3 linked regions of the Sus scrofa genome follow. The protein of the gene in region 1 interacts with the protein of each later gene in a pairwise test. Links are inferred from orthologs where the notes say so. Each region holds a gene or a part of one and is shown in the gene's direction. Other genes may lie near its edges.

Region 1 (2,583 bases):
ACCCACCCAGCTATGAACCTGGGTGTACAAATACCCGTTCGAGTCTCTGCTTTGAGTTTTTCTGAATAGATACTACGAAGTAGAAGTGCTTGATCATATGGTAATTCTGTTTAATTTTTTGAGGAACCGCCATATCGTTTTCCACAGTGGCTGCAGAATTTCTTTCCTAAGCCCCTGACTTCTTTTGATTTCCTTATTTTCTCCTTTTCCAAGCACCCAGCAATGACATTCTCCTGTACTTGCTAAGAGCTCCCTAAGAGAAAGTGTCTATCCGTGTTCCCATTGTAGCTCAGTGGGTTAAGAGCTTGACTAGTACCCTTGGGGACGCAGGTTCGATCCCTGGCCTCCCTCAGTGGGTTAAGTATCCAGGTTTGCCACGAGCTGCACATAGGGCTTGGATCTGGCATTGCTCTGGCTGTGGTGCAGGCCAGCAGCTGCAGCTCTGATTGGACCCCTGGCCCAGGAACTTCCATATGCCACGGGTGCAGGCATTAAAAAAAGGAAAAATGTCCATCCTTCTCTTCCATAATTCTCAGATGTTAAAGCTGAGTTGACTGTTTGCAGCAACATGAATGGACTTAAAGGCATTATGCTAAGTGAAATAAGTCAGACAGAGAAAGATAAATATTGTGTGATCTTACTTATATGAGAAACCTAAAAACAAAACTCATAGGAAAAGAGATCAGACCTGTGGTTGCCAGAGGTGGAGGGTGGGGGAAGGGAAAATTGGATGAAGGCAGACAAAAGGTACAAACTTGCAGTTGTAGATAATGACTTGGGATGTATTGTATAACATGACTACAGCTAACACCACAGTGTGATAGGCAGGAAAATTGTTGAGAATAAATCCTAAGTGCTCTCATCACAAGGAGAAAAAATTTTTTCTTTTTTCTTTTTCTTTTTTTTTTTATTATTATCTATATGAGAAGGAGGATGTCAGCTGAACCTACTGTGGTCGTCATTTCACAGTATATTTAGTTCTCATTGTGGTGCAGCGGAAACAAATCTGACTAGTATCCATGAGGATGCAGGTTCGATCCCTGGCCTTGCTCAGTGAGTCTGGGATCCGGTGTTGCCATGAGCTGTGTTGTAGGTTGCAGACGCAGCCTGGATCTTGCATTTCTGTGGCTGTGGCATAGGCCAGCAGCTGTAGCTCCAATTCAGCCCCTAGCCTGGGAACCTCCATATGCTGTGAGTGTGGCCCTAAGAAGCACAATGTATTTAAATCAAACCATCATGCTGTACACCTTATTATTATTGTTATTTTGGCTTTTTAGGGCCACACCTGAGGCATATGGAAGTTCCCAGGCTAGGGGTCGAATTGGAGCTACTGCTGCCAACTTACAACACAGCCACAGCAACACAGGATCTGTGCCGAGTCTGAGACCTACACCACAGCTCACAGCAATGTTGGATCCTTTAACCACTGGATCAAACCTGCATCCTCGTGGATACCAGTCAGCTTCATTTCCACTGAGCCACAACGGGAACTTAAACTTAGTGATATATGGCAGTTATATTTCAATAAATCTGGAAAAGTGTAGATATAAATTTATAAGTGATATATATATAAATGATATATAATAAAAATTAGTATAATTATCAATATAATAAAAAGAAGCTGAGATGGTCTTTAGGGCTCATCTAACCAAACTTGACTATTTTTTTTTTTTTTTTTTTTTTTTTTTTTTTTTTTTTTTTTGTTGTTGTTTTTTTGCTCATATGAGTTCAGTAGGTCAATCGAGCTGTAACGCTACGCAGACACAGCAACGCGGATCGACCGCGTCTGAACTACCATAGCACGGCACGCAGATCGTTAACCATGCCAACAAAAGATCGGAAAAACTGGACGGGACCTATCAGAGGACTGATGAGAGGCAGCTGGTTGTTGGTTGCACCGCAAAAGCCTGGGTCTAGCTCTTGGGACTGCCAGGCCCCGTGTCCTTTTGGGACTCCACTCTTTCATGAATCCACAGCTCAGTTGCCAGGTGAATACAGGTGCCATGGGTGTCCCTGTTTATGGGTCTTCCTCGGAGTGGAGCAGAGGATGCCTGGGACCCTAGGGTGGGGGGCAGGGAGAGGGGGAACCCAGACCAAGGGCCTAGGAGGAAAATGAGCTTTTCAGAGTGGCCCTTCTCTTGCCCAGGAGAAACCGCCCTACAACCTCAGGGCCTTCAACCTTCGCATCAGCTTCCCGGAGGAGTACCCATTCAAGCCCCCGACGGTGACGTTTACAACTAGGATCTACCACCCCAACGTGGACAGCGAAGGCCAGGTGTGTCTGCCCATCATCAGCAACGAGAACTGGAAGCCCTGCACCAAGACCTGCCAAGGTGGGCTGGGCCCTGCCAGAGGAAGGGACCCATGCTGGATGGGGTCAGAGGACCGCTTTTGAGTTAGAATAGCCCAGAAGGGAGGAGATAAAAATTGTGAGTCTAGGCGTTCCCATCGTGGCTCAGTGGTTAACGAACCCAACTAGTATCCAGGAGGACTCAGGTTTGATCTCTGGCCTTGCTCAGTGGGTTAAGGATCCGGTGTGGCTGTGGCTGTGGCGTAGACTGGCAGCTGTAGCTCTGATCAGAT
Region 2 (4,203 bases), on another chromosome or scaffold:
CCCCAAAACCTGTCTATCTTTCTTGTGCTACCCAGGTAACTCCCTGGTTCTGGTCATTATTATCCTCCCTTGGACTAATTCAGTAGCCTCCTAACTGGTTTCTCTGCTTCCATTCTTGTTCCTGTCTTTTCCAAACCACACTGCAGTCAGAGTAAATCAAATCACAGCACCTGGAATAAAACCCAAATTCTTGGTCCTACCCTGTGTAGGATTGGGGGGTAGATTAGGCCCCGTCTCTGCTTCTTTCTGGCTTTTGTTAGTGGTGTTCTTGCCTGGCTCCATATTCCAATGCTTGGCAGGCTTCTTCCTAAATCTATGAGTGGCCGACTCCTTTTCATTATTCATAACTCTGCTAAAATGTCACTGCATCCAAAAAGCCTTCCCTGACAGTCTTATCCTTTACCCCCCTCACTCTGTTTTATCTTCTTGGCTCTTATCATCTGAAATGAACTTGTTCACTTGTTTATTTGTTGATTACTGATATCTTTTCATTAAAAGTAAAGTCTGGGAAAAACTGGGTGAAGTTTATCGGATTGTTATGTATTATGGTCTGTGTATATTGCCTACGTAGATTATGTATTACCACGGACGATTATTATTATTATTATTGTCTTTTGCGAGCTGCACCCGCAGCATATGGAGATTCCCAGGGCTAGGGGTCTAATTGGAATTGTAGCCACCCGCCTAAGCCACAGCAACGCCACATCCGAGCCGCCGCCGCTGCGATCTACACCACAGCTCACGGCAACGCCGGATTTTTAACTCTCTGAGCGAGGCCGGGGATGGAAGCCGCAACCTCATGGTTCCTAGTGGAATTCGCTTCCGCTGAGCCACGACGGGAACTCCAGATTATTTTTTACAATAAGAGTGTGAATCTATAATTACCTCCAAAAAAAATCTTTTTAAGGTCTGTTAAGACTGGGCTTTTGTTTGCTTGTTGGAAACTGTCCACTTCACCAGAAAGGAGTCTGGCATACAGCGGGCACTAAATAAGTCTTATTAAATGAGTGAATTAATAAATGATATATTTGGTCGTATTCAGGAGGATGGAGAGGGGAATACAAACAACATCAGGCGATCCTAAGGTGAGGAAACTGGGCCGGGGGCGGGAGTAGGAGGGGTCCTAGGATTTGGCACTAGCATCCCTGCCCTGGGGTTGGGATTCGAGTCCAGGTCCCAGAACTCTCTCCACTACTGCAGCTACCTCTCCTTTATGGATTGTTCATTAGGTGACTGAAGCACTGATGAGCACTTTCTTAGAAGACGCTCATAGCTCAGCTCTGTAGCCTCTTATGATCACAACAGTACAGCACTGATAGGGCCATCACCTTACAAGTGGATGTGCTCTGATTCCCTGCGCACATGACCACGCCCGCTCTTTCATTCACTTCCTACAGTGGTTCGAAGAAGGATGCGCGCACTTGGCTGGAAGGTTCACTGCCTTACCAGGTCCTCTGCTCTGCAGTTGAGGTGTCAGGTTTCAATCCTCCCAGGGGCCCGGGACGTCGCAGCGTGCAATGTGCGGCGGCCGCCTCCGCCTCCACGCCTCAACTAAGGCAGCTGGCAAAAGCTAGTCTCAGACGCGCGGCCGCGCACTCGGCGCCGCGGCGGAGGCTGCTTCTGAGCTGCACTGGCTGGGCGCGCTGGGAGGCGGCGATCGCAGCTGGGCCGGGACTTCCTTCCTCCACCGCTGGACAACAAAACAAGCAGGCAGCAGGCACCAAGCTCTTGGCCGCTGGCTGGGCGGGAGGCGCAGCAATGGGGTCGGTGCTGAGCAGCGACAACGGAAAATCCGCGCCCGCCTCGGCCACCCCACGGGCCCTGGAGCGCAGGGGGGACCCCGCGCTGCCCGTCACGTCCTTCGACTGCTCCGTATGCCTCGAAGTGTTGCACCATCCCGTCCGGACCCGCTGTGGCCACGTGTAAGTGCCAGGGAATCTGGGTTGGCACGCCCATCCCTTGGGGAGAGCGATGTTAGGGAAGCGGTGGGATGGGAGGGAGGAAGGGTGGTTCCAGAATACAAAGCTTGAAGGAAACTGCTGCAGGAAGAGACCTGGACCCGTCGGATGCGGTTCATGGGATAAGGCAGAAGGTGACACAGGGTTTCAGGAGGAGAAAACAGCAACAGGCAGCCCCCTAGAGCCGGCTCCTCCTGAAGTCCAGGTGCGGAGACCCCGAGATGGGGAATCCGGGCGCGCGAGCCGCGGGGAGCCAGGGCTCGCCTGCCGCGGAGGATGAGCTTGCTGGAGAAGCAGCACCCTCCTGGGCCCAAGGCGGAGGACTCCCTCAGAGCAGTTATCGCGCTCAACTCAGTTAATCCGAGGTTCTTCCTTCTCCGCCCAGAACCCAGGTTGGTTTTGTTTTGCGGGCTCTGTGCACGTGTTCCAGAACGCCCGCTGAGGTCTCATGAGAAAAAAAGGGGGGGGGGGCCTCTGTCCTTCCTTCCCCACCTCCCTTTTCCCAACTCAGACACCCAAATCCCTCAAAAATCATCAAACTGGACCGTCCAAGTGACTTTCTGTAGTGGTTAGAGCTTAACAGCCCTCCAGGGTGGGGTCTGGGGCTTGAACCTTACCCCTCAAACCGGGGAATGGAGCCGTTTAAAACCCAAGTAACCAAGTGGCGGAGGTTGCAACAGACTACCTGCCTTGCGCACCGCCTCCCACATCGGTAGGAAGTAGAGATAAAAATAACTGTCTTAAAAACCACATGCATACTCTTTAACTAAAATTCGCTGTTAGTGCACAACCGTGGTAGTTTCTAGGAAGAGTTTAAAAACAAAATCCCTGTGTAAAATTGGCACGTCCTTAATGTGTTAATGTGTGCCTGAATAAATACTAGTGGGAGTTGGGTCTGTGAATTTGTGTGTGCCTGAATGTGTGAGGGTGACTTGTGGGGGGAGGGATTGCGTAGAGCAAAAGTGAAAACTTACCCAATGTCTTCTTTGGCCCGCGGACTAGTTTGGTGACGCTCCAAGGCAGTATCCTAATGCTAATAAGCACTTTTTGGCTTACCAGGAAAAAAAGAAGTATCATATTATAAATGCAAGTGCACAAAATATCTTTAAGGGATCTAGGTGGTCCTTGACACCTATAGCCTAAGCAACTGAGAAGCAGTTTTTAACACTGAAAAGCCCAGAAGAAAGCCAGAGAGAAAAAAATCTGCAGCCCACACAATGTTTAAAGAAAGAGTACCCTGAGCATTATTTTGTGGCTGTATTTTCAGGGCCTGTTGTTTCAGCTTTGTACTTTAAACTCAAGACTAATTTACCTCCTGTCTGATTACTGATGTTGCCCAGCTGTCCAGATGTAGCTCATTGACATAATTCCCCAAGGCCAAGACAGGAAGCCAAGATGTCATTGTGTAGGGTATGAAATACATTGATTAGCTCAGGTCAGAAAGAACCTCAGGATAACTACATTTAAATTTAGTCTAGATTAGTGTTAAAACTTTTAAGTTGTACCAGAGACAATTGGGTAGCTTTGCAACTGGAGATTGTTATCTGATTGTTTTCCCTGGTTTGGATTTTGAATGCTTATAACTTGTTTGCATTGTTTTGCTTCTGCTAAAGGGTAATATAAATTTGCAAAATGTTAAATCTTTTGTTTGGTCTTTTTCTTTGTTAGAATGAATAGGAAACTAGCAACTGGAAAAATAGTCATGAAGTAGCAAGCACAACAAGGGCTGGATAAATTGCCTTCCCTCACTTTACTGTTCTTTGTTTTGACAAATCTATGTCCATTGTTCTGGCCGTAGGCAGGATTTCCATATTCCTCCTTTTGGCAAACTTACTTGGGCCCCTTCCACTTTACAAATGTTAACTAGAGTCCCTTCTGCACTGGAGATAGTGGGCTCTCTTTAACACCATTTGTCCTTCCTAAATGAATTACTTTCTTCCACTGAACTTAATTGGAAAATGAGGAAATGCAAATGAACCTCTGTGTTATCTCATATATAAGCTAATTATAAACCTATTCAAGTCAAGCAAGTGTAATGGCCACGGTACCTTGAATGAATATGTATATATGGATTGCGATGTAGTAAATCAGCGGGCGTGATAGAGAGCAAAGTCTGAAAATCAACCCCACCACTAACTAGCTGTGTAACCACCACATTGCTTGGTCTTTTTGAATCTCAGTTTCTTTATTTGTAAAATAAGGTGGGTAATGGAATTTTTATGAATACTTAAAACGCCTATAGTAA
Region 3 (3,654 bases), on another chromosome or scaffold:
TGTCAATATGTAATTATATCATATGGGTTTCTATGGGACTTAAAATAGTTTCTGGTCCCTTGCTGCTTGTCCTTTTAAATGTTTACTTTTTAAAAAATAAATTAGCAAATTTAGGGTACCAATTTAAAAGTATATAAATAGAATTATATCTCTTTATTTTAGATGGAAATTATACAATATAGGCTATTTGGGTGACATCTTCCTGAAAGATCTTCAAGAATTACAGGTATTTTTAATTTAAATTTTAAATTTTAATTAAATTTTAATTTTCTCCTAAAGGAAAAAAAACCATAGTTGAGTTCAATTGTGATTAGGTGGTTCTGCCATACGAAACAATTCATTAAAAGTCAAATTGCGGAGTTCCTGTCGTGGCGCAGTGGTGAACGAATCCGACTAGGAACCATGAGGTTGAGGGATCGATCCCTGGCCTTGCTCAGTGGGTTAACGACCCGTTGCCGAGAGCTGTGGTGTAGGTCGCAGACGCGGCTTGGATCCTGCGTTGCTGTGGTTCTGGCGTAGGCTGGCAGCTACAGCTCCAATTAGACCCCTAGCCTGGGAACCTCCATATGACGCAGGAGCGGCCCAAGAAATGACAAAAAGACAAAAAAAAAAAAAAAAAAAAAAGTCAAACTGCAAGTATGTTAACTGCCCTCTCATTAACGTGACTTTTTTAAAAGAAAAATTCGAGCATTTGTATGTAACATCAGACAATGATATTTTTATAATATCATTAAAATGTAACTTGGGAGTTCCTAAGGTTCTGCACTGTCACTGCTGCAGCTTGGTTCACTGCTCTGGGGCAGGTTTGATCCTTGGCCTGGGAACTTCCATATGCTGTGGGCTTGGCCAGATGAACAAATAAGTAAAATGTGGCTTGGTAGTCCTTTTGACTGGCCATATCTTCAGGACACATTCATTTAAAAATTTTGGTTTTAATTATAGTTGATTTTTTTTTTTTTTTTTTACTTTTTTGGCCTAACCACAGCATATGAAGTTACCAGGCCAGGGATCAGATCCAAGCTGCAGTTGATACCTAAGCTGCAGCTTTGCCAATGCAGGATTCCCAACCCACTATGAGGGGCTGAGGAATTGAACCTGCGTCCCAGTTGTGCCATAAGGGGAACTCCTGTGGTTGATTTTTTTTCTTTGGAGAGATTATCAAACAGGTTTTTTTCTGTTTTTGTTTGTTTGTTTGTTTGTTTTTTTGCTTTTTCAGGGGGCACCTGTGACATATGAAAATTCCCAGCTAGAGGTCAACTCAGAGCTACAGCTTCTGGCCTACACCACAGCAACAGCAATGCCAGATCTGAGTCTTGCCTGTGACCTACACCACAGCTCATGGCAACACCAGATCCTTAACCCACTGAGCAAGGCCAGGGATCGAACCTGCATCCTCATAGATACTAGGCAGATTTGTTTCGGCTGAGCCACCACAGGGACTCCTAGTTTTATATTTAAATCACTATTTAAATATACAATGATACTGTTCATTGGAAATGATCACATGAAGTAGTTCTTGTGTAGGGAAATTAATGGGTATTTGCAAAAATCTTCTCTGAGATGAAATTTAGGCTTGTGATTGTTTTGCTTTCTAAACTAGTAATCTCTTCATTTTTATGTAATTGAGTAACATTTTGATCTGTGAGGATTTTTCAGTAGCTAGTTGCATTTGATCTCTTATTTCTTCATGATAAGTAGATTCTGGCTTTTCCTAGCTATGATCCTGTGAAAGCAGAATATTTAGTTTTCTTTCATTACTGGGCCAGTTTCTTTGCTTCTTAGTGCCCCTTTTAAAGGATTAAGTAGAACCTTTTAAAATAGAAAAATTATTTAACTTTGCAGATAGGAGGAGGAGGTTGAAGAACTATTTGACTTTTATTTTGTCTATACTGTGCACCTTTTCCCCCATATATCTGACAGTGATGTATGTAAAACAATATTATTCTTTCCCTAGATATTATAGTGGGAAAGAACTGTCTGTGTCACCTCTCAGTGGGGCATGATAGGCTAAGAGATTTTAAACTTTGGTAGTTCAGCCTTTAGGTTGTTTCCCTGTGGGCACCAGCTGTGGGGATGTGCTTCTCTCTTAACTCTGGCAGGAGGGACACATCCATGGGGGTTTGACTCCTTGACATAGAGCACACAGCCTTACTCTTTCACACCAGACCCTTCATGTGAAGTTACCATCGTTAACTGCTTCTGTCCATCTGGGAAAGGGTCTCCCTTTGAAAGCCTGGGCAGGGAGATGTTGAGGTTTCATGTATGAGAACAAAGTTAGAATAGGCCATATAATGCAGGTAGGACTAGGGCTGTGCTGCTTTCATTTTTCTTTTTCTTCTTCTTCTTTTTTTTTGGGGGGGGGGTCTTTTTAGGACCACACCTGAGGCATATGGTGGTTTCCAGGTTAGGGGTCGAATCAGAGCTAAAGTTGCTGGCCACAGCAACACTGGATCCGAGCTGCATTTTCAACCTACACTATAGCTCACGGCAATGCTGGGTCCTTAATCCACTGAGCAAGGCTAGGGATCAAACCCATATCCTCATGGACACTAGTCAGGTTGGTTAACCACTGAGCCATGACAGGAACTCCACCATTTTGATTCTTGAATGGTTTCTGTTATAACTTTTCATAGTGAAAGTTAATTAACACTTATTTTTTTCTTTTCCTCCCTTAGAAGACAAAAACACTAATGTATTTGAGAAAGTGGTAAAGTTTAGGGGGAGGGGGAAAAACCTGCTCTCCTGATCTGCATCTTGGCTGGATGTTAAGATGTCTGTGGACATGAATAGCCAGGGGTCTGACAGCAATGAAGAGGACTATGACCCAAATTGTGAAGAAGAGGAAGAGGACGAAGACCCTGGGGACATAGAGGACTATTACGTGGGAGTAGCCAGCGATGTGGAGCAGCAGGGGGCTGATGCCTTTGATCCTGAGGAGTATCAGTTCACATGCTTGACCTACAAGGAATCCGAGGGTGCCCTCAATGAACACATGACCAGCTTAGCCTCTGTCCTAAAGGTGAGCAGTGTTGTCAATTTCAAGAATAATCCCCCCAATTAAATCTAAATATGAGCTGTTGCTAACGTCTCCTCCAGAATGATTGACCTGTATCTTGAAACCAAATTTAAGTATATGTTGCATCATCTGGACACATTCGATGCATCTACTTTGTTTGCTAATATGTACATAGCTAAGACCCTCAGATTCCCAAACTACTAAAAATTAGAAAGAAGGAGTGGGGTGGATTTAGGAAAGATAGTCCAGAAGTATGTAGACGCAAAACTGCATAGATTAACACTTGTTTGAGAAAGTGTCATGAAACTTTCTGAGGTAAGATAGGATAAGCATCAGAATCACCATATTTAGAGTTCCTGCTATGGCACAGCGGTTAAGAATCTGACTGTAAACACAGGATGCCGTGGAGGCGTGGGTTCGATCCCTGGCCTGGGAACTTCCGTATGCTGTGCCGTGGCCATAAAATAAAAAAATAAATCAATAAAATAAAAGAGTCACCATTTCAACACACTCATGTATCGGTGACTGATAAATGTCTTAAGAGAGGTACTCACATCTGTCGGTTTGCCCTGAATAATCAGTGCTTCTGGGCTAATGATCTTATTTATTTCATATACTGATGACTAATGTTTGATGTT

Evidence for each region.
Region 2: the proteins of UBE2L6 (region 1) and RNF125 interact in a two-hybrid assay, tested with the Homo sapiens proteins (3 studies listed by BioGRID and IntAct). The link is inferred for Sus scrofa from reciprocal best matches to the Homo sapiens genes UBE2L6 and RNF125.
Region 3: the proteins of UBE2L6 (region 1) and ARIH2 interact in binary tests that used the Homo sapiens proteins (3 or more experiments, as listed by UniProt). The link is inferred for Sus scrofa from reciprocal best matches to the Homo sapiens genes UBE2L6 and ARIH2.

What each region holds. Positions count from the first base shown.
Region 1 is NC_010444.4:13,363,996-13,366,578, forward strand, and holds part of UBE2L6 (ubiquitin/ISG15-conjugating enzyme E2 L6), read left to right. Parts: intron 1-2,146; coding exon 2,147-2,333; intron 2,334-2,583. UniProt on the Homo sapiens protein: Catalyzes the covalent attachment of ubiquitin or ISG15 to other proteins. Functions in the E6/E6-AP-induced ubiquitination of p53/TP53. Promotes ubiquitination and subsequent proteasomal degradation of FLT3.
Region 2 is NC_010448.4:115,856,303-115,860,505, forward strand, and holds the start of RNF125 (E3 ubiquitin-protein ligase RNF125), read left to right. Parts: upstream 1-1,394; 5' UTR 1,395-1,758; coding exon 1,759-1,922; intron 1,923-1,991; exon of another isoform or gene 1,992-2,234; coding exon of another isoform or gene 2,235-2,350; intron 2,351-4,203. UniProt on the Homo sapiens protein: E3 ubiquitin-protein ligase that mediates ubiquitination and subsequent proteasomal degradation of target proteins, such as RIGI, MAVS/IPS1, IFIH1/MDA5, JAK1 and p53/TP53.
Region 3 is NC_010455.5:31,572,930-31,576,583, forward strand, and holds part of ARIH2 (E3 ubiquitin-protein ligase ARIH2), read left to right. Parts: intron 1-161; exon of another isoform or gene 162-162; 5' UTR 163-226; intron 227-2,675; 5' UTR 2,676-2,770; coding exon 2,771-3,019; intron 3,020-3,654.